7 linked regions of the Oryzias latipes genome follow. The protein of the gene in region 3 interacts with the protein of the main gene of each other region in a pairwise test. Links are inferred from orthologs where the notes say so. Each region holds a gene or a part of one and is shown on either strand. Other genes may lie near its edges.

Region 1 (4,293 bases), on a different chromosome or scaffold from region 3:
CCTGCCTACGCCCAAGTGGCCGGGATAGGCTCCGGCAACCCCGTGACCCCGAAAGGGAATAAACGGTTAAGAAGATGACAGGAAAGATCGGGTTTGTTTTAAAAGAAACGACTAAAAACTAAAAAACGGATCCATTTAATATATGAATAAAAATAGGCAATTCTGAAAACAATATTTAAAACCTAAATGTAGAATTCACACTCCTAGAAGCTTCACAATACATCCATAGTAGAATACAGTAATTATTGTTTACATTTTTCTAAATCACATATTCAAAATCGTGATTGTTGACAATATGATGTATTTGTAAAAAACTCATTTTTGTTATTTTAACTCAAATTAATTGAATTTGACGCACAAATTGTCTTTGGTTTGAACGGACAATCGATTTAAATGGGGGGGGGGGGGGTCATCAAGGGTCATCCGTGATCCGTTGGACCTCTAATACACACCATGCATTTAATGCATGTTAAAGTACCCTTTTTTTTTCTTTTTCTACCATGTACTAGAAAAGGTTTGGTGCAAAAAGTCAAATCTGGTAAATCTTGCTCCAGGTTTTATTTTTTTGTCTTTTCTTTGACAGCTATATTCCAATATATTAAAGACTTGATGCCAGAATTCCAGCCGGGCACAAACCACAATCATTAATTCCTCCTTCATGATCAACTTTCAAACCGTTGGCACTTTCGTGAATTACAAAGGAAACCATATATATGTCACTCCAAAATCCAAGTCCTTGATTGGTCAAAGTTCGACCTGGTTTAACTTCCAACGCGTGTTCATTGTCATAAAAACTTGCGTAGCCAGGCATGAACACAAGAGTTTTGAGCAAAAAAGCCCATAAAACAGTGTTTACATAGACTTCTCATCGAAGGTGTCTGCTTGAAAAACATGTTGCCGAGGGCGATGAGAACATAGCTTAAAGTCAAACTCTGATCATCTTTTGATCTACTGTAAAAGCGTGATGATGCTCTTTTTAGCCAAAATCAAAAAATCTGTGTCGTTTTCTAGGACATAGTTATGCAGAGTGGCAGGAGTTCATCAGAAATTTGCCTCTGAGGTGTGGGCACACAGAGAAAGCCCACCCCCACATCTCGTCATCTATCTGTTTACACTAACTCCCGCTAGCTTAGAGCCCCTCACACATCCCAACCTAACGTTAGGGGTTTCACAAAAAGGGCGGGCAATATTGCAGCTATCCAGCCGTACAGTTCTGAGCCAGATTCCACCTCAGACGAGGTCAACGAAGATGCACAGTCGTGTACTAGTGGAGGCATCAGAATGGAGCAGAGCAGGGAGTTTGTGGCTTGCCGTTGTAAACGCCTACGTCAAAGCAACAAGCTTTTTCCGACAGTAATTTTTCATCGGCTCCTGATTCACAACGATCTGAATAAAGAAATACTCATAAATGCAGTTTTATATCTAAATTTTCTTCATGTATGTCCTCCCTCATGAAAAAAAAAAACAAGAACATATTAAAAAAACTCCACAGTTTTCATCAGAGTGAGTTATTAATAGCTGACAGGGAGAATGGTGTCAGAAACATAGAGGGGGGTGGAAATTCATCTCTAAAACAACATTTCTGCTCCAAGTATCGAATTCCAAGGAAATGATGCAACGGGAGTTTCTGCAGTACAGGACCTGCAGCCTCCTTCCTCATACCTGTCAGTGCGGACTGTAGACCGGGAGAGCGCTTTGCACAGGGTGTGTCTGCAGTAGGTGTGACAAGTCTACCTGAACCACGCAAGAACTTTCAGCACCTTTAAACACCTGGATTTAAATCTGAAAACCCAAATTCTAAATCTAAAATAAAATGTACAAAAATATCCAGCATCAAGTCAGTGAGAGAACAGACAAGGCGTCCTTTGATCCACAGGGGCTGATGAGGCGACAGCATGGTGCAGTTCCCACCAACGGCCGCTAGGAGCACTGACAAGCTCGGCATGTGGCACCAGGCGCCCGGCCGATTTCTGCTGCTTCTTTGGCAAGTGTGCTTCATTGTGTGAGCCGTAGCGCTGTCAGCAGGATCTCGAACCACACCAACCAAACACCTATGATGGCAGAAATTGTTTTCCACGCAAAAAAGTACGAAATTGTAGAACTGAAGTTAAAAGAAACTATTTTAAACAAAGCCGGACCACAGCCTGGAATCCACCACCACCGACCATGGTCTGTGAGTCAGGCCCCTCTAATATTTACTAACCGAAAAAGTACAAATGTTGTTAGTGAACATTTTAATTGATGATTTTAAGTGTGGGAATTTAAACAAATTTATACAATTGTGGGGGTTTAAAAAGTGGTTCGCGAACACTGGAGCGAGATTCGAGCCAAGTCTGTGGTCAGAGTGGACAAAGACCAAGCGTCTCAACGCGAGAAAGTGACACTCCGAGCCTCCCACTCCCACTACGGAGGAAAACCTCCACACATAATTCTGTAGACCAATAAAACCCCTTTCAATCTACGGCACGCGCAGCTGGAAAGAGTAATGTAAGCAGAAGCAACTCACACAGTTGTGTATTTCAGGCTTACCTTACCTTAGTGTTCACTCCAGTCAGAATGGGCAGACAAGCGTCACAGCACAGGGATAGCGCGCGCGGGTCCAACAATAATAAGTGACCAAACCCTCGTCAAAGTGACAAAAAAATTCGTTTAAGTCCTCATCTCCTCTGGTTTATCTCATTTTCTTTCTTCAAACACTGACTAAACCTGTACTGTTCGACGTGTTGTCGCTTGTTTTTCCGTCGCAGGCTGACTGCCTCCGCCTCGATCAGCCTCCTTTCAAGCTAGGAGATACACACTTCTTCACTTCCGTTCCGATTTTTCAAAATAAAGCTAGGTTTGAACAGGGCAAATTCAATTAAAAAGTACAATTTTTGCAAAAACAAGTAAATTAAAATTACATATTAGAAATTTGAAAAATATTAAATGCAGTCAGAAAACACAGTTTAATTAAATATGGTTAAATATTGTTCATGATAACAAACGTGTGCATTTTTCCACATTTTTATGCCTGTGATAAACAAAAATGTACACTGTACTATTATTGCTTTATTGTCTATTCACCACTACTATCTTTATTTAATATATAATTAACTTTTTTCTTTTTTGAAATAGTACATTTTTAGACATATTCAACTTGTACTTCTTCAGGTGTTTTGTCGTCTATTTGACCTATTTTAAATGTCAAAAATGAAAATCTTAGCAACAGCATACAAAAATGTAAAGAAAAGATGATACGAATGTTTAGGAAGAGAAAACTTTGAAACCAAATGAATGTGGAATATTAGCAGAAACATTTATTCTTTCTATTCTTTTTTTAAATTAATGTGTTTTCATTTGCCAATATCTGTCTGGGTGAGGAACATCTAAAAAGAGGTTCTTCACAGTTTAACGGTATATGTGTTTGAAGTGTAGGTGTTTTTTATCATTTTGCAGATGTTTCAGCAGTTTCGCTAACAGCAGTTCCATGTAGTTTACTATTTTCTTTTCTTTTGAAGTCCATATGATGGCATCAAACAACAAATATTTAATCCAGAAAAATTTTCATAAGAATTAAATAAAATAGAAAGATCAACAAGTTACTTTTTTGGTCAATCCCTATCCATTTAAAATCGTATTTTGTTTTGTTTTGCTCTATGGTTACACTTTATCCTTTGTGATGTGGGTAAATGAGTATGCAATTCAAAACGTAAAAAAAAAATCTTTTATTTACCAACTGCTAACGGTCAGAAGTGTATTTACCTAATGGTCATTGAAGCAAGGCTGCAGGCCTAAATGTAATACATGTAAAATTACATATAAATTACATGTAAAATTACATGTATGTCTGTTGGTGAACTGATGTTGTTTATAGTTTACTCGTACCTTAGTTTGGTTATTTTCCTTTTTTCATGCTAACTTTCAGAATCTTTTTGTTAAATCGAGCCTGCTTTTATTTGTTAGGACTCCGCCTCAATTTCCGGTTTGATTCTGATATTCACGTTCAGCTTGATCCCCGGTCCTGGTTGTGACGTCACTAACCCCGGGACGAGAACAGGACAACGCCAGAGGGAAATGGACAGATTGTGGAGGAATATGTCGCCCCTTGGCGATAATAGCGAGAAATAGGAGACGATTAAGCCACATGTCCATTGTTATTCATGTAGATCGCATTTCCTTGCTACTGTAAAGGAAATAAAAATCTTAATTTGTTTAAAAGACATACTTTAAAAAATTAAAATGAAGCTATAGAGGCAACCTTCCTCATACATTCTTCAAACGAAAGGTGCAAAATTGCACAATTTAATCGTGAAA
Region 2 (3,997 bases), on a different chromosome or scaffold from region 3:
AAATAACCTCAGTTGCCAAGGAAATCCAAAAGTTTACTTCTGCCGAAACTTCTAAAAGTTACGTAGACCTCTTCGTCCCCCTCAGACGACCAAAAAATTAAATGGTTGCTATGGAGATAGAGCCAATAGAAAAGGCAGTAGGACAAAAGAGGGGGGGGGGGGGGGAGGGGCGTGTGAATCTACTTAATTAGTGAGGGCGGGTAGGGAGGGGTCTGTGAGGGCGAGGACGGGCTAGTTGATGCTGCAGGCGGCTGTACTTGGATTTTTATGGTTATGTTTAGGATACTGGTGATCTCCTAATGACCACCACCAGTGCAAATGTGTCATCTGTAGAGGACATTTCTCAATGTGAATAGTTCCAAACTACTATACTAATACTGATTAACTTCTGTTGGTATCAGAGGAATTTTGGGCCTTTTTAATCGTACCAAATGTGAAGAGGTGGGTTTTTGGTGGATTTAAAAAAACTTAACTGGACAAAATTGGTAATCAGGAGGATAAGTATATATATTTACAATTTATGAACCCAAACTAGGTTTAAAATGTGTTTTTGTTTGGCTTTTCTTCCCTTTTTGTACTGGTTAAGGTATAAGTCTGTAATTCTGATCCTGATAGCGGAATCCATCTTTTAAAAAACAATCCAAATCTGGGGAGATTCTTTTTTTTTGTTTTAATGGCAGCATATTCGAAAAATGGTGACGCCTTTCAACCCGTTTACAGGCGTGATGTCAGAAAGTTGCATCAGCTCTTCTCACATGTGAGCAGCGGTGGCGCATCGGGAAAAGAGCTGCACTGGAAGAGGAAAACAAGGCGCAACAGAACAATCAATAGTGCCTCTTGTCTTCATGGCCCATCAACGGTGTAATTAAGACACAGGTGTAAAACAACACGAGGTGACATGTGGGGCACAGGCAGCACCGGTGAAAGGGAAAGCAGTCAGCATCCCTTCTACACGCTGGAATCATTTTTCTAACCTCTACTGTTATCAACCTTTTTCTAATTAACTTCAGAAAGTGTGTTTTTCTAGTATCCTGGAAACATGTGGAGCTGAGGTTTGTGCCCCTCCTATCGCTATTCACCTCAGTTTTCTGTTCATCATGAGGCTGAGCCCCTGCAGGCTCTGTGCAGCCTAGACCCTCTGCTAACATCAACAAGCGTTCTGACCCACACCGCTCCACTTTCAACAGCACAGATGGGACAGAGCGGACTCATGTGGGTGCATGTTAATGCGAGCTTTGAATCTTCCAGATGGGACCGGAACACCTTAACATGTGAAGGAAAAACGACCTTGTTCTTCTGATTCTGACTTTAGCGGATGAAAGGCCCACGAGAAGAAATCGGGTCACAACAGTCACCAAATGATGAACTTGGGTCTTGGAGCATATGGAACCCAAACAGCTGGAGCTGCCTTTAACTGACATGGAATCAAAATAAATCTGCATTTTTAAGGAACATGTAGGTTTAAATACTCTTTAAGGCTGAAACTATTTGGTCCTTGCAAAGATTTCAAACCTGACATTCAAGATATTTTACCGGGTTTTCTGTTGTTTTAACTTTCACACTTTTCCAAGCTTTTCTCAAAATCAGCAGTTGAGATTTTTTTTGTCTCATTTAGATTTAGAAATAAGAAAATTATTATAAAAAAATAAGTCTTTACATTTAACAACAGAAAAACTTGATTTAATAGGAAATCTCAGATTTCTTTGCAATTTTTGGTTCAGTTCTAAGGATGTTATTTAAAAGTGCAATAAACCTTAGACTGGCACTCATGGTCATGATTTTGAAAAAAAAAATTTAGATTTATCTTCTCAGAAATAGTGCTAGTTTTAGATTTCATGAGGATTTATTAAGATGGACTAACTGATACTAAAATCGACACTTAGTTCACATTATATGGTCGTTTCCACTATTTTCCACTAGTTTTTATTCACTGTAATCAAAATGAACTGAAAGTAGGTTCATAAAAACTCAAAAATACAAACTATTTGCTTAGAGCAAGCCAAAAATACTTATCATTGGCCTGTAAACCATTTCATTTGAAGTAATTCTATGGAGGAGTTAACTTTTTTATCTTATTTTTCCCATTTGAATGTTTGTGTGGAACTAGATTTTAATACTTCATAATTTCTTGTGGAGTTAAAATGATTTAACAGACAATTTTATTACTTTCCAGTAATTTTCTTCCTATTTTCTTTCCTGTTTTAAAGCTGCCTCTTTTTGCAGTAATAGGCATTCTCATGAGATAAACACTGTCAGATTGGGGCTAATTACACACGCCAAATATATTTAGAAATGCTTAAAAATTAAGGTTTTATTTAATCTTGCATTGAAACCAACAAGGATCTGCCCAAAAAGGATCAGACAGACATCTTACCTTTTTTTATAAAAATGTTTTTCAGTTGAAAACGGCGCACAATTATTTCGTTTTCAGATCACAAACAGACACAGCTGGATCCTATAATGTTACTGACAAAATCAAAAGGTCACAATAAAAGCATTTTCAATTTAAAAGCATGTTGAAGGACGGAGAACAAAAACAGAACATTGTTTGTCCATTGAAACACATTTATGCCCCTTTATTTGACTCTCACCACGTTAAAAAAACTTTTATAATATAAATGAATAAATGTGCATGATTAGGTGTAAGAACAGCTGAACTCACCTACACCTGGAGCTGCAAAGGCTTCCTGCAGTAGACTGATAAATACCAGAAGCATCATGATGTGCCGCCTCTCTGAAATCCCACCACAAACCCAACACTGCAGCCGCTAACCTTGACCACACGGTGTTAAATGAGTCTCTCTGTTTTTTTCATTGCTCTTTTTCACCCTGACCCCTGTATCAAACGCCCCCACTGTTTTGAACTCTGAAGCCCCTCCCACTTCGCCTCCTTCCAAAAAGGGAAACGTACATTAGCAGGTGACATCACACTCCAACCATCACATCAACCGTCTTTGCTGTGGAGGAACAAGAACAACATTTCGCTGTCTGTTTGTTTGTCAGGAAAATTGAACATTTCTTAATAAGAAGTAGTTTAAACTGAGATTATGAGTAAAAACAAATGTTTTAGGACTACAAATCCCTGCAGATCCAGCATTTTGTTGAGTTTCAAGCGATGTTGTTTCACTCCTCTGTAGCGTTGTGCCTACAGGTACAGATACATCTGAAGCTGCAGGATCAATGACATGGAAAAAAAAAAGAATATTTGTGGTTCAGAAATACTAATCACTCTTTTTTTAGGGAAATCCTGTCGCTCCATGTTACCTTTTTACAGGACACATCAGACCTTTTGGTTTAATACAACATATGACTATTTCTTAAATATAAATCTGAGTTTCTTGATGATGGGGGCCGAGATCCAATAAAAAAAATATCTGCAAAACTTTTCATGTGATGTCTATTTAGCACAACTTTAAAGACAATATCCTGGAGCTTCATTAGGGTCACTTTTCTTTTTTCCTAAATTTAGAAAACATGCAGAACAACAACATCAGTCCATAAAAAAGTGAAGATAAAAGAAAAATTCGTAGTAAAATAATTTCCAACTAAGCATTTTAGTCATGTTGGAAAGTCTGAACGCTCTTTAAGAGGCATGTTTTATTTCTAAAATTCAGTGTAATACTATTCAAATTCTATCAAATCAAGGAAATAACTTATTTTTTTTCATTTCTTTCGCTGTTTTTTTTTCAAATGAACAGGTTAATCTTAAAGGACATCCTGCACAGAAGCAGCTGGAGGTCAGGCAGGATCACAGCAGATCCTCTGGACCTTGAATGTTTCCTCTTTGCCAAAAAACAAACACAACAACAACAAAAAAAACGTCATCAGGACAAGTGTTTCCAAAAACTGGATAAGAGTTTTATTGATAATTGAATTACATTTCTCTTTTATACATATTTCATAAATGATACAGGATTTTACATTTTTCTTTTTTGCCAACATTACAGCATCTTATGTCAACTGAAGAAAACAAACACAAAAGAGGTCAGAATGAAGG
Region 3 (3,500 bases):
AGGGGGCAGAAAGGTGTCAGCCGAAGAGCTGTCGCCGTTTATTGATGCAGGAACCAAACAGGAAGGCATCGAATCACCAACGTAAGGCTGAGAAATATGTACAGATCGCTACCATTGAAGGGGCGGGTTCGATTCCGTCTATCCCGCTAATATTTGACCCTTTGTACAGCAGAAAGCCATCGGAGCTGCAGACTGTGGGTCAACAGTGCAAATCAAAGCTGCTTCTCCAAACACAGCATGGAATGTTAACAGGATTACCCATAATGCATTTGACACGTTAGTATTTACGACAAGCTTTTTTCTTTTGTCAATGTTCTCGACTGTACACTTGTTTAGCATCGCTGTGCGACGATGGCAGCAAACAGCAGCCCTGGTGAGGAGGGTCCTCTCCTGGTTGGGGTGGGGTGAGTGCATCATAAGTGGGCGTGTTCGGAGCTCTGGTCGCTGTCCTGACTGTCCTCGTTGGCTAAGGAGTCCGTGGAGTGGTGCAGCGCCGCGATGCCAGAGAACTCCGACGGCAGCAGGGTCCCCTTTTTCACGTTCACCAGTTCCTTCTCGCGCGCTGCCGCCCCCTGCTGGCCGCCCTTCACCCTCTTCCACTTCATCCTCCGGTTCTGGAACCACACCTTCACCTGTGGGGGGGTCAAACAAGCAGAGACACGTTTGGAAAGGTGCTGCCACATCTGGAACCTGACCCCCCATGCATGTCGACTCAACAGATTCAGTAACGCCTCGGACTGATGATCGAGCGGTTAGTCCGTCTCAAGTGGCAGCAGAGACCCTCTAATAGGGGGGGGGGGCGTTATTTTGGGAGGGTGTCATTCTGAGACCCATGAAGTGAAATGTTCTGGAGCTGATTTTCAACCCAAACAGGTTTCTGTTTGACCCCCCCCACCACCACCACCACCACCACCTTAAACTGAGGCTTCAAAAGGAAAATGCAAACGGTCTAAAAAACAGAATCTAAAGAAATAAAAGCTTCAGTTTAAACTCCTGAGGTCCATAAAGACACAAGCCCATGAAAATGGTGTTTCTAACATAATTGTGGCAGTTTTGTGAAGATGAAGGACACATGCAAAGAAAATTAAGATTAAAATTGCATTTGAGTATTTATGGATTGAATGCTATAAAGCATTTCCTGTTTTTCTTTCTTTAACCCTTGTGCTATCCTATGGGGTCCAGATGACCCCCCCCCCCTTCCATTGAGGTGTTCTCCCTACCATGACAAAGGTGGATAAAGGTGGAAAGATATCATGTAATCCATGGACACCAGTGAAGATCACAAATCATTGAAGAAAAAAGGTTCAGAGCACTGTCTAGTGGGTCTAAATGACCCAACTCCCTACGTTGACGTGGCTTAGAGGCACGTTAACGCTGGGAGTGGGGTCATCTAGACCCGGCATGACAGCTGGTAGCTTGTTCGCCGCATTGTCTTGTGGGGTCCAGATGACCCCACTCCCAATGTTAAAGTGCCTAGGATAGCACAAGGGTTATTCGAGGATCTTCCACCATTTTTTTGCAGCTTAACTCCTTCAACAATGGTTCATCTATTTCAACCATTCAACTATTCAAATGTTCAGCTCTTTCAGCTTTTTCCAGCTCTGACTTTTGGTCCTTCAAATCCGTGAACTTTTCTAGATATTCCAGGATTTCTGCCTCCATTTAAATAAATGGGGAATCCTTGGTGCAGAAACTCGCTGGTATTTTTCACAAACATATCTTTTTTGTTATTGTGCTGTTTTCACTTTATTTATGGTCCACTTTGATCATTTCTTTTTTTGTGTGTGCCAATTATTCTCCTTTAAGTTTCATTTTCATTCAGCAATACAACCTTCAACCCTGCATTTTCTTCTGGAAAAGCAGCTCCTAGTTCATTTTGAATCAGGAGCAGATGAAAAAAAAATCCCATTCTGATGTTTTTAAATACATTTCTAAATGATTCTGGATTTCAGACCATTTATGCAGATTTGACCTCCTAAACCTTCACTGTTCCTCAGACATAAATGCTTCAGAGACATAAACCAGCGTTTCCCTTTGAACCAGTTTAAACCCTGAACAGGAGAGGTTTCTGCCCCCCTGCCGTTTCTTCTGCTGCTCACACATCCTCCACCGCTGCCAGACGTGATGTGGGCAATATTTACCTCACAATAGCCTGCTGTATATTTTTGCTGACAAACCGAGGTCACACGTGTGCGCCGCCGGAGCCGCCGGCCCTTTACGCACACGCTGAGGCCGCAGAGAGATTGATTGGAGTCTGTGAGTAGATTTAAGGTGGCAGACGGTGCTCTTGGTGGCCATGTGCACGTCTGTAATTGAAACCAAAAGGCGGAGCTGCACTCAGAGGCTTTATGGAGCGTTTGACATGTTTCAAGCCGTGGTTTACAGGTGCTTTCAGGCCGAGGAGCTGCGTTACTTTGAAAGCACACCTGTGGGCCTTTTTTTCAAACGAACATCTGAATCTCTTTAAGGCGGTCTGAACATTTCTCCACTCTTTTCAAAAACGAGGCGGCAGGTTTTCCTCAGAAATGTGAACCAAAAGTGTTCCAGTTCACTCTGAGGGAGAATATCAAACCTGTTTCAGCTCAAACTCTGTGGCTCTTTATGAACATTAAGTTTGCTATATATATATACATATATGTTTCTTTACATTTTTACATGTCATGAAGAAGAGTTTAGCAGGAGTCTGCAGTGTTAAAGGATTTCTTTGGATGTGTCTCTGAACTCACTGCTGAGTTTTCTGATCCCTTTGTCACTTTACATTGATGCAGGAATGACTTTGACCCCCCCCCATTGAGTGCAGCTTTCATTCAAAATTTTATGTGACGCTTCAGGATGTTTTTAGTTTGTAAAGTTGTGGTTGAAAACAAACAGACCAAAAGTTATGACACAAAATACTGATCCTCTTTGGAACATTGGACACAGTTTTGTGAAACTTCATCTGTTTTATTTAGACATTTTCCTCATTTTTTGACTGTTTTGTCTTTAGATTTACACAAAAGGGGTTTGATCTTAATTGAGTCATTTTTGCAGTTAAAAAAAAGAGAGAAATGTAACATTTGAAAATTGTTATTTGGCCATTATTAGGTTAATTGAAGAAATATTGTTTAATATAATCAAAAATATATTTTAAAAAACTGTAGATCGATAAAAAAAAACAGTTTTAAAGATTACTATTAGAGCAAATTGTAAAGTAGAAATAAAATCTAAAACAGATTCTAGACTACTAGGTGTTAATAAAGTTGGTTAAATGTTTTGTACTTAAATATGTTTGTAAGTAATCCGACTACTCTACACATAGAAATAAAGCTCATTGTCGTTTAATGTTGTTTGTTTGGGTTTAGAAGACGGACGTCTGGTCTGAGTGAAAATATCAAATATTTAAAACATTAAGTTGAATTTATTTTATAAAAATATTCAACATTTTTCAGTAAAATCACTGGGTTATTTCACCCAGAAGAGAAATTTTAAAAAGTGTAAATGATCTCAAATCATATAAAGCT
Region 4 (4,081 bases), on a different chromosome or scaffold from region 3:
GTGAGTTAAACTGCTCTACTTTCAAAACCTAAGAGGCATTTCTTACCTAAAGCTATCATGAAGGGAGGGTAGAGCAGACACAGATCTGTCCTGTACGTGTCGTTCACTATTCGCCTGGTAAAGGCAGAAAACAATGCAAAGCCTTCCAGCGGAAAAATAAGCTAACATCAATGGGTTTTGTTCAAACGAGGCAGAACGTACCATGCTAAGGGCAGCAGCATGTCCTCCTGCCCCATGTCCTGCACATACTGCAGCAGAGGTCTGTAGGGGTGGTACACAATCAGGCAGCAGTCCTGAAAAATTAAGCCAATCAAGGATCAATTCTTCTCTCTATGAAACAACTCATCCTTTTTATCTAGATTTCCACCCACCATTAGCTCCAAAAGGTAAAACTCACATTCTAGAATCTGGGGGGAAAAAAAAGAGGTTTAGAATTATTTCAAAAAGACATTTAATCATGTTTTCACTTTGAAAATGCCCCCCAAAATTTGTGAATTCATTTTTATTTATTAAGTCTCGTCATCAGACTGGCCTTTGACCTCCTGCTGTACAGATGATGACTTTGTTTGCTTTTAACAGCTTCGCACTTCATCATTGTCACACTTTTACTAAGTGTCCAATGTCCACAAGATGAATGATGTTTACGAGTCACGGCCCTCTGCTACCTCAATCTCTGCCGTCTGAACCCCCCCCCCTCCGTAATTTATAGCTTATATAGCATTACGTCAGAGCCGTCTTGTTCTGGAAACTCTGGAGATCTGCGAGGCAAAAGCATTGAGCAGCAAGCCCCCTGACTGACTTTTTTTTTGTCAGCAGAGTGTGAACATTAGCTGAGGAATCTAACGCACTGATAGGCAGTAATGTGGCAACACTGTGATACAGTCTGAAGGCTTCTCGGTAAGCTGCAATGCAGCACATAAATAACTTTGCAGAGGAAGCAGTTTGATGTGACCTCACCTTCTTGAAACTTAAACCAGTAAACCTTGATGGCATTTACTGTTTACCGTCACATTTCTGCATCGTCAGATTTGTTCATGATTCTTAACTTTTTCATAAAATCACAGACGTAATCGGATTACTTCCACTGTGTTTTACTCACATGATTCATTCTGTAAGGAAACTCCTTTGGAAAGGCATAAGAAAATCTTGTTTTTACTACAAAAAAACAGAAGAAAAAAAATTTGTGTTGCTGGAAACTCCAAATGAAAACAGGGAAAACTTAAATTTGAGATCCACAATGTGGGTCACTTACATACAGAGGTGGCGGCTGAGATCAATCTGGTGTTGGACACGACTCCAAATTCCTACAGGAAAATAAGCAATACAAAACAGATTATCGTGTGTACTAAAGAAGCAGTTAAAGACCCTAAAATGTGTCTCACTTATGATTAAAAATGAAATGTAACATGAAATGTTAAAGATGATTCCACCAAATTTATACCTCAACTTTAGAGGCCAGGAACACACAAGTGGGAGCCATGAGCACCGGATCTATACTCTTCAGAGAATACCTGCAAAATGACACAAGGTATTTAAATATTAAACAAACAGATCATGGAAAGAAATGCTGACGACGTCAAAAAGTAAGAGTAGCCAAAGATAATCATGGCTACATGGGTAGTAAGCACAGTATAGTTAAGGGAAAGAATTTAAAACAAAAGAGGAAAGTTTTTTTTTTGTTTTTTTTGCCTTCCTAACTGTTATGCTAATGTCAGCAAAAGTAAACATTCCTTTGTTTACTCATTGATACATCATGTCGACAGCCTTTTGTTACAGGGTTCAATAAACCAGACCAACTTATCCGCTCCCGGACACAAAAGCTGTTGATGCTCTGCAGAAATGAAACTGTCATCAACACTGATGTAATCTCATTAGGGCTGCCCAATATGTTCACACTTTACCCTCCATGAGCTGTCAGCACAAACGTGTAAAATACCAACAGCTTAACTTATGGAAAAAGCGTTTCGAGCTCCTTACCGGGCGTAGAAGCGCTTAAAGTACACAGTCGCAGTAGCAATGACCTGCTGGCGCAGCTTCAGATGTTCGCCCAGAGCTTGGATAACTGAAAAATACCAAATGAAAAACATTAGTTGAAGTGTGTGATTTAGGTTTTGTTCGTGACTATTCAAGATTTTCTCATGTTTTCAAACAGACCCGGAAACAGACCCAAAACCTGCATGAATGTATTAGAAAAAAAACTCACCATTTGCAAAGAAAATCTGAAGCTTCCAGTACTCCTCCTCCGAGAGAAACTTCAGGTCTTTCTGGCGCTCCTTTATGAGGTCCTGTTTGTCCAAGACCCACTGCAGACTTTAAAAGATAAGCAAGATTACTTTATATGATAAATTTATACAGACGTTTGAACGGGTCAAATTCACTTGACTAACAGTAACAAGCTCCTGACGTGACGGCAACAAAACACAACGAAAACAAGAACCATTGCTGGAGCTCAAAGGAAAGAAAGTCCACATTTTTAGTTACAGTGTGTTCCCCAAGTGTTATTTTTACACCACAATGCTATAAGTAAACTGTTAGCTTCAACGCAGAACAAAAATAGCAGCTAGCTAGGCCTCACAAGCGAAGCGGCTGATGATTACGACAAAAACACACACAACGTCGATATTATTTTAACAAAAACTCACTAATGAGAACTCTGCCAAAAGTTACCCGCCATCACTGCAGTTGAGGTAGAAATTTACAGAAAGGAAAATTGTGTTTTTTTTAACCAACAAAAGAGCGGAGACAGCGAGAAAAGTAATTAAAGTGGCAGAGCTGGTGTATCACGAATAACGTTCCGACGAGCCCAAAGATTGGTTCCGCAGTCTCCTGTAAATGTCGGGAAACACGATTACTTCAAAGAGGGTATACTCACATGTTTTGCATGATTAAAACATTTATAAAACTAATTGTTTAAGATGCCATTTACCATGTTTAGACGTTTAAAGTAGATGTGATGAGGCTAGTATATGAGGTTTTCAAGCAACAGAAGGGAAAAAGGAAATAAAGAAAGTGGTCAAATAAACATAGCATCCTTTATTTCAAAGGGTTCATTGATTATCTCCTAAACTCAATTGAATATTAAAGCATTTGGGTAACTAGAGCTTTTATACCATATTTGTTTGTGGTTAAGTCAACTACAAGTTGTTTTTTTTTTTAATTATTTTATTTTGGCTATAGTTATTCTACATTGTGTAAAGGGTTATACCTAATATAGTCTATTAATATTAAAAAAACAAAAAGCAGCAATTAAGGACTTTTGACTTTTAGCGATTTAGCGATCAGCGATTGCAGACATCTTTTCTTTGGTCTAAACAAATTACGTAGCCCTATAGAAAAACAGGAAATTGTATTCTATTGTATTTATTTAATTTCAATTAGCCTTTCGTGAAGTCAGTGGTGTTCTGTTTTTTCAAATGTTTTACTTGTTTTTATTGTAATTAAGACAACTAAAAATCAGTTTGTATTGTTCATTTTGCTTGTACTTAACATTTGAAAGTAATGTTTAATTCAGCTTTTACTTCAAAATTAATTAAGTCCTTCATCATTCGAAGCACAATGTTCTTTCAACAGCCTATAGGCCAAATTATTTGGCTTGTTGTTGATAGATGCCTGTGCAGGCATTCATACTTGGTATGGAAGGGTTCAGCATTTCACTGTAGTGTTAGGGGAAGGGCCAAGAAGTGTATAAAGACCCCACCTCCTCAGACTGACAGAAGAAGCAAAGGCTCCATTTCCAGTTTCCAACTACAGTTGCATCAACTTAAAAGCCACCATGAGCCGAAGCCCGGAGAGGATGTCTTCATACCGCCGTTGTTTTGAGGACAACATTGCCTCAACATCCCACCTCCGGGTTTCCAGTCCTTCTCCCACCAGGAGAGAGAACCGCCACCGCTCAGCCAGCTTCAACCGAAGTGGCGGGTGGAAGTTGGGGGGGCATAGAGCACTCACCAAGCAAAAACTGACAAGGTAGGTCATCACCTCAGCCAGCTACACAAAAAGCCCACAACACAAAGCCACTTACACCATTATTTTTGGGCTCCTGCAGCAGTTCAAGTATGGGGGTCCTTTGTGTAGGTTCATC
Region 5 (3,973 bases), on a different chromosome or scaffold from region 3:
CGTACAGGACTGTCGGGAGTCAGTAGAGAGAGTGAGTGAGTGAGTGAGTGAGTGAGTGAGTGAGTGAGTGAGTGAGTGAGTGAGTGAGTGAGTGAGTGAGTGAGTGAGTGAGTGAGTGAGTGAGTGAGAGAGAGAGAGAGAACTTTATTTGTCCATTTGGGAGGTTCCCGCATGGAAATTGACATCTCCATCACATACAGCACTATTAGAAATAATCAGAAAAGTAAAAACAGTAAAGACAGTTTACATTTCTGCAAAACAGCATTTAAGAAAGTCAATCAAGGCCCTTTCCTTTCTGTCCCACTCCCCCCTCCTAAGTGGTGGTTAAAGAGTTTGATGGCCCGGGGGACAAAGGAGTTCCTCAGTCTATTAGTGCTGCACCTTGGGAGGAGCAGCCTCTTGCTGAAGGTGCTTCTCTGGCTACTGATGGTCGTGTGCAGAGGGTGGGTGGCATTGTCCAGGATACCCGATAGTTTTTTGAGTGTCCTTCTCTCTGCCACAGTAGCCAGAGGGTCCAGCCTTGTGCCAACCACAGAACCAGCCCGCCTGCAACAGTCTGATACACAGAATATCTGTACCCGGTCCCGTCTGACCCTCAAGTCCAGTCGGTTTGTCTGCTGTGATCGGTCCGGTCTGAACTCAGACACGGTTAAGTGAACCGTACCGAGGCCGGCTTACAGAGGTGCTCCAGATCATGCCACTAAAAGCTCAGGGACGTAGCCCCGCCCACCGTGTTAAAAACCAAACAGCTAACATCTCTAAAGACAGACACTGGTGGAAGATCTAAATGGCAGAGTACTGTGGTCTCTGGAGGATGCAGAACATCGTGCTCTGGTTCTGATTGTCTGGTGTGAGTAGACTCTCAGCTGCATCACCTGGACCTCACCTGTCGTTGTAGAGCCACGCCAAGAAGCCCGTGCTGTTCCAGTACTTGGCGGGAGCATCCCCGTCGCCGTCGGACCACAGCACCTCCGGTTTGTACTTCACCACCAGCTCGTAAAGCTCTGGCAGGGATTTGCTGGTGGGGAAGAAGTTGGTGGTGAAGAGGTTGGCGGCGTCCAGCTCAAAGAGCGGGTTGAACCACTCAAACAGAGAGTGGTACAGCCCCAAACGCATGTCGCCCTGAGCACGAACGGCGCTCGCAATCTCATCCACCAGGTCTCGTTTTGGCCCCACGTCCACGGCGTTCCAGTTCCAGGAGACTTTGGAGCCCCAGAGCGTGAAACCTGGGAAAGACAAACAAACCCTGCATGACAGGAACCGTCAGGACGGTCGGCGGCGCCTCCTTGACCTACCTTCATGGTGTTTGGTGGTCAGAACGATGTACTTTGCTCCTGAAGATGCTAAGATGTCCGTCCACTCTTTAGCATTGAAGAACTCGGCGGTAAAGGACGATGCAAAGTCTTGATACTTGAAGTCTGGAGGATAGTTCTTCTGCATGAAGTCCACATACGCCGGCTGCTTCTGTTTCTGCCAGTAGTACCTGCAGAACAAAAGCACCTTAGTTCCTGTGACTGAAGGAGTCACAACGATGCACGAACAAAAATGGTACGGTCCATTTTCGTGATGTCCCTGTGGCCATATGAGCCAGAACTGGAAGACGCACCTGCGCCCCTTTTAAGATGTAGCCCCTCCATGAACCCAGACAGCCCAAGAACTAACAGAACCCGAGTCGACGAGTCAAACCCCCCCCCCGTAGGGGTGACTCAGACTTAAAACAACCAATAATTATGCTTCAGAATAAAGAAGGAAAGTCTGGATACAAAATTCCCTCACCATTGCAGTTACGTCACAAATGAATTCTGACACCAAAGGAAAGTTTTAACCACTGCAAACCTGAATGTTCACCTGATCATAAGACTGAACTGGAAACACAACAATGTGGGCGGAGTCTACCGTCCTCCTGCAGGAAGTTCAGATCTTCCAGAGCTGCAGCATAACTGCCAGTGTGTGAAGGATCATATTCAGATTTAAAGTGGTTATAACCTCCTTTTAGCTAAAGAAGGCTAAATGATGCTGTTTTTATTTAGATTTCAATGGCAAAACTGTTGACTCACAGATAAAAATCATTGAGTCTTTTGGTTTCAAATGTTAGTTATAACAAAAATGTAGATAAAAACTTTAAATTGCCTTCCCTTTGGCTGAACAATATGATGTTTTACAACTATGATGCAATAAGATAGTTTTGCACTTTTTGCTATTTATTTTCAGTCATTCAATTCATCAGCATTATTTAGTTTCACTTCAGCTTTCTGATTTTTAAAAGCTCAATTTCAGTTTTTTTCAGCATATTTCACTGTATTTCCGACATCGTTTTTTGAGTATTTAATTTTGAAAATCTCCATCGTCTGTCCCGAAGCTTTTTAAGGCTCTGACCTGGTTTCTCTATCATGGTTTTCCTCCGGTGGGTCACCAGGTGGATCTTAGTTGGGGCCGAAGCCTCCCCGAACTACGCGAGAGCGGCTCTGCTCAGAACCGGAACCACTCACCAGAACCACTCGCTGCCGAAGCTGGGCACAGAGAAAACCCCCCAGTGGATGAAGATGCCGAACTTCGCCTGGTCGTACCAGCCCGGCAGCGGGCGGGAATCAATGGACTCCCAGGTGGGCTGGTACCTGCTGTAGGTCAACAGCGGCAGCAGCAGCAGCGCGAGGACAGCGGGAAAAGCGCCCATTCCGATGCGAACAGTGCAGAAAGTTCCGGCTTCCCCGTCATATGATGTGGAAGACAAACACCTGCTTCTGTCACATGACAAATAAAGGGGTGTTAAAAAAGTCAAAACAAAAAACTTCCTGAAACGAGACTGCTGAGATTCAACCAATCAAATCGAAGAAAAATTCGACCATTTACTAAACGTCACTAGTTACTATGCCACTGGAAAGTGATTTTGTTGCGCATGCGCAGTTTTCTTCTTCAGACAACGAACATTTGAAAAACGTAAAAAATACCAAAAACAACTTAAATGCATGTAAACTAAACTGATAAATACAAATATTATATTTTCTGTTTGTTTAAGCAACTGTTGACTCAATTTAGACAGTTATGAAACGAAAAGTTGCAGCCAGTAGAGGGCAGCAGAGAGCAGCGAAGCCGCTTGAACGCAGACGGGTCAAAGAAGAAGACAAACGTAAACATGCCGGGCTACGTCGACTGTCACTGTCACATTTCTGCAAGAGATTTCGATGAGGTAGGAGAGAAAATGCGTGATTTAAGTTAATAGTTTGCATTTTGAGAGGCATAAATGTTGTCCGTGTTCGGTTTAGGACATAGAAGAGGTCATCGAGAACGCGAAGAAGGTGAGAAAAGCGCTCAGACAGAGATTTGTTGTCTTGTGTTTGTTTGTGTGAATCTAACACAGCTCGTTCATTTCCGTGCAGGCGGGACTGTTGGCGGTGTTGGCCGTTGCTGAACACGTGGGAGAGTTTGATAAGATTATTGAGCTGTGTCAGAGGTGCAGAGACGTTGACAGGGTTGGGAATAAACGGTGCGCTCCGATAGTCCGCATTAATCCAGGTGTTTCCATCCCTGCAGGTTCCCAGGCTTTATCTTCCCGGCTTTAGGGGTCCATCCTGTTCAGGCAGTTTCTGCACAGCAGCAGAGAGGAGCTTCTATGCAGGTGAGTTCTGCTTTGACAGAGGAGTTCACCCCCAAAACCATCCGCTTCTTTACGGACACAAACCAGCCAAATAATGAAAACGACCACATCTGCTTCAGTTTTAAGCATCTCAGTTATGCGGCACAATATACCGCAGCTTTATGGTTATCGAGCTGTGCAATATGCATATCGCAAAAGTCGGTGAAATTGAGGTAAATGGTTACCTTAGATGTGGTGAAACAAAATTATGGCAGCTTGAAGTATTTAATGAATCAAATAAATGCATTTGATGAATGGGATGGACTTTTATGTTAGATTTTAACATCTTATGTAGACGAGGGTCATATTGTATATAATTTAGGTTATATTGACTCTTAT
Region 6 (4,162 bases), on a different chromosome or scaffold from region 3:
CGCAGGGCTCCGCAGTGACGACCAGCACGCTCCTGAAAATGGAGGTGAAGCTGCGTTAGCTCTCCAAAGCTCATCAGAAGGTCCAGAGACAACAGGCTCAGGAACTCAAACTAAATGATCTACAGCAAGATGTTCATCTAACCACAGAAGCCTGATCATTACCCAACTTCTACAGCTCATTATTCAAGTGAACACATGAACACACAACACCTCCACAAGAGGAAAAGGTTTCGTTAAGATCGTTCAGCCTCAGGTTTCCAATCAGATAATACTGGTAATGAAGCTAACATTCATCTTCTTCCGTTTATTCCCCTGTGGGGTCACATGGCTGCTGGAGCCTATCCCGGCCATCTGTGGGCGAAGGTAGGGGGCACCCTGGACAGGTCACCAGTCTGTCCCAGGGTGAAGCAAACATCAAAACAGAATTTCAACACTAAACGCACTTTTAGAGCCAATCTGTTTTCAATCTGGGACTCCATCAAGTCACTGATGCACGTTTCCTAGTCATTTGTGAACGTGGAAACAACGATCAAGTTCAGATTGTTTTCCAAGGAGATGTTTCATCCACAGCTGTCTACTGTGCAGATGAACATCTGTTCAGCTCTGGCGGTGAAGCGTCCTCACACAGCACAACCTGAGAGTTTAGTTCATGCCCACAGTTGACCTGAAGACCGAGCTGCAGCTAAAAGCTCTAACTCTGCTGCAGACAGGAGTCACGACAATATCCTAAACCCAGATGTTCACACACTTTATGTCGAACGGTTCACACAATTGCTACTGACTGCAGAGAATGAGGAGTTCTCACACGAAACCAGAACAGCCCATCTGAGTCCGTCTTCTGACAAAAATCTAGGTTATTTTCTTCAGCCAATATCTAATCAAAGGCAGAGTTTCATCGCCTTATACGTGACCACAAGACAAACCAAAAATGAAGTCTGACACAATTATTATTTAAAAAATGCAGCGTAGGCTGCTTTAAAAAATAAAAACATAAAAAACCGTGAGATTACATCGTACATTTCCCCCCATGAAACCTTTAGACCCACTGACTAAGATGAAAACTGTTCTTTGGTGTTTTTAACAAGCTCTTGCTGCATTTTTCTGATGATGGTGGACATAAATCAAGCTCAAAGTTGCATTTCTAAGTATTTTTTTTATTTTAATTGTTGTGGCTAAGGAGCAGATGAAAAAGAGCTTGGCTGCTCTAATGTACGTCTGTTCTCCTCACCTGAGCTGGCTCAAAACTGAATGGCTGATAGCTCTAATATTGCTCGCCATTTTTGTTGCACCGGTAATGTTAGCTCGAGTTGGCGATGCGAGAGGCTGTAAGCTAGCTGGAGACCGTGTAAACAGACAGCTCTCAGCAACAGGGAGGGGGCGGGGTTACTCCACACCAACAGTCCTGCCCACAAGTCAGGGGTAATTACTAATGAACTACTACCACTCTGCAGAACCCGTGTACTAGATAACAACACAAGTTTTTGGATTTTGACTAAAAACTGCATATTCATGACTAAAATACCACAGGGAAAATAGATCAATAGATGATGGCAGTGGAACTTTGGGGAGAGACAGACACCACATACATGTTTACTCCGGCAAATGCTGTAAATCCTGGAAATTAAACTGTTTCATTACAAATAAAGATTCTCATCACACCTGACCAATTCTTCCCAGAAGCAAGACGTCCTCCCTATAGTCACACATGTAGTTATGGAGGAACGATCTGACATCAATTGCTTGTACCGTCATTCAGAAAATATGCCAGAACATCAACTAACCTCAGCAATGGACTGCAGGCTGCGAGCAAACTTGAGCTGGTTCACTCCGTGGTGCACTGGCTTGCCGTACGTGGCACCTTTAGGCACGGGGCGCTTGCGGCCTCCACGGCGTACACGGATGCGGTAGATGACGTAGCCTGTTTAGGAGGGGGGGGCAAAGGGGTTAAGATGGGTACCACACAAAGATACTGAGGAGGACGATGATGCACTCACCCTGCTTGGCCTTGTAACCCAGCCTACGGGCCTTGTCGGGCCTGGTGGGTCTGGGAGCACGGTGGAGGTTGGACAGCTGCCGGTACTGCCAGCAGCGGACACGGAGGAGGAAGCGCATCACATCAGACTGCTTCTTCCTCCATAACTCCTGCATATATCTATATGCGCCCATGGTGACTTAATCTAAACAAGGAGAAACCAAATAGATCAACAAATCTATTCCTTCATAAAAGACACAAGAATGATGGCAAACTGCAAGTGAATTGACACTTTCAAAACTTAAGTATTTAGGTGATTCATTGCAGCACGAGACGCAAAAAAAGCTTTTAGCAACAACTATAGAAGCTGTGATTATGTTTGAGAGAACCCTCACAGACACAAACTCCTGCAGTAAAGAACTATATCAGAGAAACTTGTTTTAATTTGACTGTTTTAAAGCCTAAAGTCTTTTCAGTGTCTTCTGATCGTTTGAATCCCCGCAATAACACATTACCGCTTCGGCGAAAGGACTGAAGCTAACAGCGCTAGCACTACCGTTTAGGGTAATAAGATGACTTTTATTTACAAAAATAGTCCGCTATTATACTTTATTAAAAGGTTGTTTGTTTGTGTCACAAAGATGAAGTACAGGCTTTAAGGTAAACGGGAGGATTTAGACGGATTGTTTAATTCAGTAGTGGAAGAAAAGTCTCGCTTACATGATGGCGAACCAGCCGGAAAGAGGGAGAATTTTTACCCAGCATGCTTTATCAAAACCACGGCTGCGCAGTTCTGACCTCTGTGCTCATGGTAAATGTAGTTTTATACACGCACTGATTCTAGACAGACACTGATCCTTTGTTCTAGTTATAATCTATATTTTTGATGAATAAATATTTGGTTAAACTAACAATAAAACTCAATAGCATATTTAAAACCAATTTTCATTAATATTTGAATGTTTGCAAAAATAAAATTATTATAATCCAATGCATCATGATGATATTGTGTGTGTGTGTGTGTGTGTGTGTGTGTGTGTGTGTGTGTGTGTGTGTGTGTGTGTGTGTGTGTATATATATATATATATATATATATATATATATATATATATATATATATATATATATATATATATATATATATATATATATATATATATATATATATATATATATATATATATATATATATATATATATGTGTGTGTGTGTGTTTAGTGGCTTGTAAAAATAGAATGTATTTTAAATATCTAAAAAAAAGTTTGTGTGAGTGAAAATCAAGCTTTATTCAAATGGTTATAAAACAATTCAAAATTCAATTCAAACATTAAATAAATAAAATAAATAAATTTTTAGGGGCATAAAATAAAACAAAAATTAAAAAAAAATATTTAAAGTAGATATAAATGCAAATAATTCCCATTTAGTCTAGATAAAACGTCGCAAAAAATATAATGATAAGTCGCGTCGTTTTGACGCAATGTTTATTTTGTGCGCATGCGTTGTGGCTGCAACATAGCATTTGCCATCGCCTGTGTTATTTTACTTTTACAAAGTGCTAGTTACTTTTACAGCAAGTGAGTACCTGAGTACATTCCTTTAACATGTTAATATTGAATTAACGAGGTTTATCGCCGGAATTTTGGTTTGTTTGCAGCATATTAGCCATTAGCTTGGTAGCTAACACCCAAATGTGAAATCATCCGAACATTTCCCTACGATCACATTTTCTTTTCAATGTTATCAAGAGGTAATGGATCAACACACTTTGTCCATGTTTTTTACAGTACGAGCCATCTGCTCCCTTCAGGGATCACCACAGTGGATCATAATTCACCTCTATTTTGATTTCTTCTAATCTTCCTTCCTGGTGGCTTCAACGTCAACATTCTTTTTCCATCATTTCATTTTTGCCGACTCTCTTTTGTCACACCTGAAACCACCTCCTCCTACTCTTGTACGCTTCACCTCTTTTGCAAACGCTCCCTGTAACCTCACCGTTCCTCTTGAGTCTTCGTCATTTACACTCATACACTTGCTGCAGCTGACCTTCCTTTTGAGAGCGAAGGTGAGGTGGACCAGGATGCTGCACAGCAGTGCAAGCAATGGAAGAAGCTTAAAGCTGTGGGTGGAGACGGTCACCAAGCACAAGTCTTAACCAACCTTTCACCCAGCTAACCGACCATCCCA
Region 7 (4,155 bases), on a different chromosome or scaffold from region 3:
TTCCAACATCCATGCGTCCCCATTGTGAACATATCTCCACACGCGTGTCATTGCTTCATAGACTGAACATGATCATCTGCTTTGCTTCTGTGTAACACGAGGAGAGTTTGGGTCAGAGACTGTAAATATGTCCCAACACACCATGTTCTGTCTCAACCCGTCTAGAATGGATCTACGCTCTGTACAGACGTGTACTTTTGCTTTATTAAAAGAAGAAGATGAAAGCTGTGAGCGTTGTTTTCATTGAATGGACGTCGGCCCTCGTTTGCCCCCCAGGAGCTGCTCCGATGACCAGCGGCCCTCCCCTCGGCGCTGCATTGTGCGCTGCTGCTTCTTTATATTTGTGTAACCAAACCCCTTCAGATATGAAAGGAATCTGCTGCCGATCGTCATAATTAATGAGCCGGGTCCTGGTGGGACGGCCGATGGACCGCGGCTCCGTCCGGCGGCGGGTCAGGGTTTGGGACGACTACTTTCTACAGACCAGATGGTGAAAAACAGTTTTCAGACAAACGTTCTGGCTCCTCAGATCCGAATGTGGAAGGTGCTGTGGAGAGACCAGAACCGGATCAGAACAGGCTTTAATGGAGCAGCGTCGATCCACACGACGCCTGAGCTCACCTGAGGAAGTCTGGAGCCCTGACGATCATGTGCTGGAAGTCCTCCAACGAGAGGCGGCCGTCGTTGTCCAGGTCCGCCTCGTCCATCACCTTCTCGCACACCATCTTCACCTCGTCCTCGCCCAGCTCGCCGCGGGTCAGCTTGGTCAGCGTCTTCTCCAGGTCCGACTTGCAGAGGAAGTCGTCGTTGTTGAAGTCTTTGGGGAAGAATCAAACGTTTGTTTCATAGCTTTGGGGTCAGAAACGAGCCGCTAAAACATTCAGATATGTTCTGGACATACCTGATCCAGGTGATCAGCTGCCAGTGGGGCATTAATGCAGACCCCCGAGGCCTCGGGGGTCTGCATTAATGCCCCACTGGCAGCTGATCACCTGGACACACCTGATCCGGCTTTAGGGGCCGTACTTGGTGGTTTTCAGGTCTGAATCCGTTAAATTTGCCCCTAATGTTCAACTGAAAACCAAAAGAATCTGGAAGAGGTTTGAAGGGACGTCTCCAGACGAGCGTCAGAAAAGTCTTTACCGTAGATCTTGAAAGCGTAGTAGGCCTTCAGGTCCCGAGGCGCCATCTCGCTGAGAACGGAGAACATGTCCAGGAAGTCGTCCAGCGACATGTTTCCTTCTCCATCCTCAGAGAAAACCTCCGCAATCCTCTGACGAAACGGGTTGTCCTGGACCGAACCGACACCAGAGACGGTCTGGTTAACAAAGCGTTTCACAGGTCGAAGGACGGAAAGGCTCGGATGGAGGTTGGGTCTCTGGACTCTGAGCGGCCACACCTGTTCACCTGACTTTACCTGAGAGCTGCACAACTGACCTGCCCTCTGGAACCCACCGGCATTCTTCAAGTTTAAGGGAGTCATGTAACGGATAACCTTTCAAAGAATTCTGTCGATTAGCTGCTCGTGCATTATGGATGGGGATGGGGACGGGGGCGGGCGGGGGGTGGCAGAGCGGCGGCGGCGGCTCTACCTTCAGCTCGGGCATGCTGCCAATCAGCTCATATGGTAGCTTCACATCTGGCTCCTTGGTGTAGTCGAGAGGAACGAGCTGTGGGGCCAGATCCCGGTACCGGTAGAACAATCTAGAGAGAACATAGAAAGAATTTCAAAATAAATGTTTCCAGACTTGTATTTTGAAAGGACAGCCAGTGAAGCTGATTTGAAGACAAAAAACAGTCTCAATAGCAGGATGGTGTTTAAAAGTTACAGCATTCAAGACAAAACCAACAGAAATAAGATGCAGACATGTGAAGGCTCACCTGAGAATCTCTTTCCTGGTGAAATATGTGCAGTCCTGCTGAGAGACCAGGACAGGTTAGCAGACCCCACAGACCCTGCAGCCCTGAACGTCTTCATCAAACATTTATTTCTCATCATCTTCAACCTTCCTGCTGCTAAAGTTAGGTTGGAGTCATCAGCAGCACAGTTCAGATTTGTTTTTGTGGTGGTTTACCTTCCTAAGGTGTTCAGCGTTTGAGACGCCGGGACACGCCCACATGTACGCATATGTATACTGGCTTTAATCTGCTTCTATTGTTGTTTTTATTCTGATGATGCTAACGCACCATTGAATGTACTCTATTCTATTCTGTCGGGTCCTGTTGTCAAACAGTCTGGAATGAAACAGGAGCAGAATAATTCCTGATGAGTCAAATCTGATGTTCAGAGAACCTGCAGGATCCAGAATCCAGAACTTCTATGTCCTGAATGTCCTGAAGTTGTTTAATGACAACGCTGAGGAGGTCTTCAAAGACACGAGGAAGTCTTCAGGAGGTGTTCCACCCACCTGGTAGGCATCCAGCTGCTGTGCCGTGAAGATGCTCTGCTTACTTCCCATCCTGGAGCAGCAGGTCCATGGCTGCAGCCTGGAGGGCTTTTTATGGAGGGCAGTTCAGATATGAAATCCTGGCACAAAAGGAGGCCGGAGCCAAAGAGGAGATCGGGTGTCGGGTCGCAGCCGGGCCCTTTGGTTGCCACTATAATGGCAGCAGTTTATGGTTCTGTGTGCTGAATAGGAGCCCGTGTGGCAGTGAATGAGGGCTGTCGTCGAGCACCGTGCCAAGTGGTTTCAACCCTTTAGTGCCACGGCACGGCCAACGCCTCGCTCCCCGATCAGGTTACCATCCTCTCTGACGGCCTGCTGGGACGACTTTTTGCAGAGAAACGGTTTATTGCATCTGATCAATGCAAACGGCGAATGTTTGAGGGACGCGGAGACCTGACCTGAACCCCCCCACACACACACACAGAGGGAAACTCAATGAGCGTCCTAAGTGTGTTTGTCTGATGGGTGTGCTTGTGAATCAAGAACGCGGTTCTGCTGAAGTTCGGCTGACAAGAGGTCAAAAGTCACCGAGACGACGGTTCAGATTCACTTTCTATTCAACTTTATTGCAAAGAAAAACTTTTAGTCAAAGTAAATTTAAAAAATGTCTTTAAACTTTTTATTCAGACAGCTTCACCTGCCCCTCTGAAGGTAACTTTGACCTCCTCACCTGCACCAGGTGACTGACTGGCTCTGTCCTCTCAGAGCACAGCGGCGCCCTCTGCTGGGGGAACCTGGCAACAGCAGGCTCCCAACAATTATTCACCTGAATGAATAATACTTTTGTACATGGTATGAATCATAATTCAGTTTACTAATGCATTTTTTAAATTGTTTAAAGTTTATCATGTTTATCATTTGAGCGGATTTTTTAAAATAACAAAAAAAACATTCTGTCATTTGACCTTTATTCAAACTACAATCCCACTCAGCAGAAAACACAATATACACATTTACATTTGTGTAAATAACACATCTGTCATAAACATATATTAATATTTATGAATATTTACATATTTTACAATCTTTGCTCAGGTTTGCCTGTTAGTGCGGCCTCAGAGTGATGCTGGCTGTGTGCGTGTGCACGTGCGCGCTCATGGTCAGTGGCAGCCGCAGCTCCCAGCCACCATGTCGTTGTACTGCTTCAGCACCACGTTCTCGTCATCATCAAAGTACAGCAGGTTGATGGAGTGCAGTTTGTCCGGCACACAGCACGGCGTCTCGATGCCTCGGACCAGCTTCAGGGCGTTGATGATGGACTGGACGGTGGCGTGGTTGGTGGGCCTCATGTTCTGACCCAGAGGGAACGGGCAGGAGCCTTTGCAGTGGTAGGCGTTGTAGCCCCTCGGCGACACAATCCAGCCCGACCAGCCGATCTCCTCGAAGTCCACGTAGAGGGGCAAGCGCTGGCAGGGCTTGGGCACGCCGTGGTCCTCGCTGTAGTCCACCGAGCGGGCGGAGCGAGAAGACGGAGAGGACATGGGGAACTGGGGGAGGGTGGAGGTGGACTCCCCAGAGTCTGAGGGAGGAACCGAGACGTCAAACGTGTTAATCTCTACAGGAGGACGGTGTGAGCAGGCATCATGACCGTAAATCAGAACTTATTGGTTTTAGGTTCCGTTGGAATCACTGCACCCTTAACCCATGGGCCATCTTGTGGGGTCCAGATGACCCCACTCCCAACGTTAACGTGCCTTGGATAGCACAA

Evidence for each region.
Region 1: the proteins of meox2 (region 3) and nck2 interact in binary tests that used the Homo sapiens proteins (3 or more experiments, as listed by UniProt). The two-hybrid records come from large-scale screens. The link is inferred for Oryzias latipes from reciprocal best matches to the Homo sapiens genes MEOX2 and NCK2.
Region 2: the proteins of meox2 (region 3) and oit3 interact in binary tests that used the Homo sapiens proteins (3 or more experiments, as listed by UniProt). The two-hybrid records come from large-scale screens. The link is inferred for Oryzias latipes from reciprocal best matches to the Homo sapiens genes MEOX2 and OIT3.
Region 4: the proteins of meox2 (region 3) and ccnc interact in binary tests that used the Homo sapiens proteins (3 or more experiments, as listed by UniProt). The two-hybrid records come from large-scale screens. The link is inferred for Oryzias latipes from reciprocal best matches to the Homo sapiens genes MEOX2 and CCNC.
Region 5: the proteins of meox2 (region 3) and fuca2 interact in binary tests that used the Homo sapiens proteins (3 or more experiments, as listed by UniProt). The two-hybrid records come from large-scale screens. The link is inferred for Oryzias latipes from reciprocal best matches to the Homo sapiens genes MEOX2 and FUCA2.
Region 6: the proteins of meox2 (region 3) and rpl15 interact in binary tests that used the Homo sapiens proteins (3 or more experiments, as listed by UniProt). The two-hybrid records come from large-scale screens. The link is inferred for Oryzias latipes from reciprocal best matches to the Homo sapiens genes MEOX2 and RPL15.
Region 7: the proteins of meox2 (region 3) and cib3 interact in binary tests that used the Homo sapiens proteins (3 or more experiments, as listed by UniProt). The two-hybrid records come from large-scale screens. The link is inferred for Oryzias latipes from reciprocal best matches to the Homo sapiens genes MEOX2 and CIB3.

The regions. Positions count from the first base shown.
Region 1 is NC_019879.2:10,283,133-10,287,425, reverse strand, and holds the start of nck2 (cytoplasmic protein NCK2), read right to left. Parts: upstream 2,801-4,293; 5' UTR 2,530-2,800; intron 1-2,529. UniProt on the Homo sapiens protein: Adapter protein which associates with tyrosine-phosphorylated growth factor receptors or their cellular substrates. Maintains low levels of EIF2S1 phosphorylation by promoting its dephosphorylation by PP1.
Region 2 is NC_019873.2:26,494,758-26,498,754, forward strand, and holds the start of oit3 (oncoprotein-induced transcript 3 protein), read right to left. Parts: upstream 2,801-3,997; 5' UTR 2,721-2,800; coding exon 2,663-2,720; intron 1-2,662.
Region 3 is NC_019874.2:31,196,853-31,200,352, forward strand, and holds part of meox2 (homeobox protein MOX-2), read right to left. Parts: intron 633-3,500; coding exon 414-632; 3' UTR 1-413. UniProt on the Homo sapiens protein: Mesodermal transcription factor that plays a key role in somitogenesis and somitogenesis and limb muscle differentiation. Required during limb development for normal appendicular muscle formation and for the normal regulation of myogenic genes.
Region 4 is NC_019882.2:15,128,172-15,132,252, forward strand, and holds the start of ccnc (cyclin-C), read right to left. Parts: upstream 2,801-4,081; 5' UTR 2,675-2,800; coding exon 2,643-2,674; intron 2,311-2,642; coding exon 2,204-2,310; intron 2,063-2,203; coding exon 1,978-2,062; intron 1,512-1,977; coding exon 1,442-1,511; intron 1,305-1,441; coding exon 1,253-1,304; intron 1,156-1,252; coding exon 1,100-1,155; intron 408-1,099; coding exon 372-407; intron 294-371; coding exon 202-293; intron 115-201; coding exon 47-114; intron 1-46. Other genes in the region: glial fibrillary acidic protein, read left to right, coding at 3,773-3,966, 4,046-4,081. UniProt on the Homo sapiens protein: Component of the Mediator complex, a coactivator involved in regulated gene transcription of nearly all RNA polymerase II-dependent genes.
Region 5 is NC_019880.2:1,087,285-1,091,257, reverse strand, and holds the start of fuca2 (plasma alpha-L-fucosidase), read right to left. Parts: upstream 2,801-3,973; 5' UTR 2,675-2,800; coding exon 2,490-2,674; intron 1,484-2,489; coding exon 1,296-1,483; intron 1,227-1,295; coding exon 887-1,226; intron 10-886; coding exon 1-9. Other genes in the region: putative deoxyribonuclease TATDN3, read left to right, coding at 3,134-3,187, 3,264-3,296, 3,378-3,451, 3,532-3,616. UniProt on the Homo sapiens protein: Alpha-L-fucosidase is responsible for hydrolyzing the alpha-1,6-linked fucose joined to the reducing-end N-acetylglucosamine of the carbohydrate moieties of glycoproteins.
Region 6 is NC_019869.2:17,918,289-17,922,450, forward strand, and holds the start of rpl15 (60S ribosomal protein L15), read right to left. Parts: upstream 2,801-4,162; 5' UTR 2,693-2,800; intron 2,178-2,692; 5' UTR 2,167-2,177; coding exon 1,995-2,166; intron 1,919-1,994; coding exon 1,782-1,918; intron 33-1,781; coding exon 1-32.
Region 7 is NC_019875.2:30,516,009-30,520,163, forward strand, and holds the start of cib3 (calcium and integrin-binding family member 3), read right to left. Parts: upstream 2,801-4,155; 5' UTR 2,460-2,800; coding exon 2,409-2,459; intron 1,917-2,408; coding exon 1,882-1,916; intron 1,705-1,881; coding exon 1,593-1,704; intron 1,292-1,592; coding exon 1,144-1,291; intron 818-1,143; coding exon 618-817; 3' UTR 1-617. Other genes in the region: bone morphogenetic protein 2-like, read right to left, coding at 3,548-3,966. UniProt on the Homo sapiens protein: Acts a an auxiliary subunit of the sensory mechanoelectrical transduction (MET) channel in hair cells. Plays a role in regulating hair cell MET channel localization and function.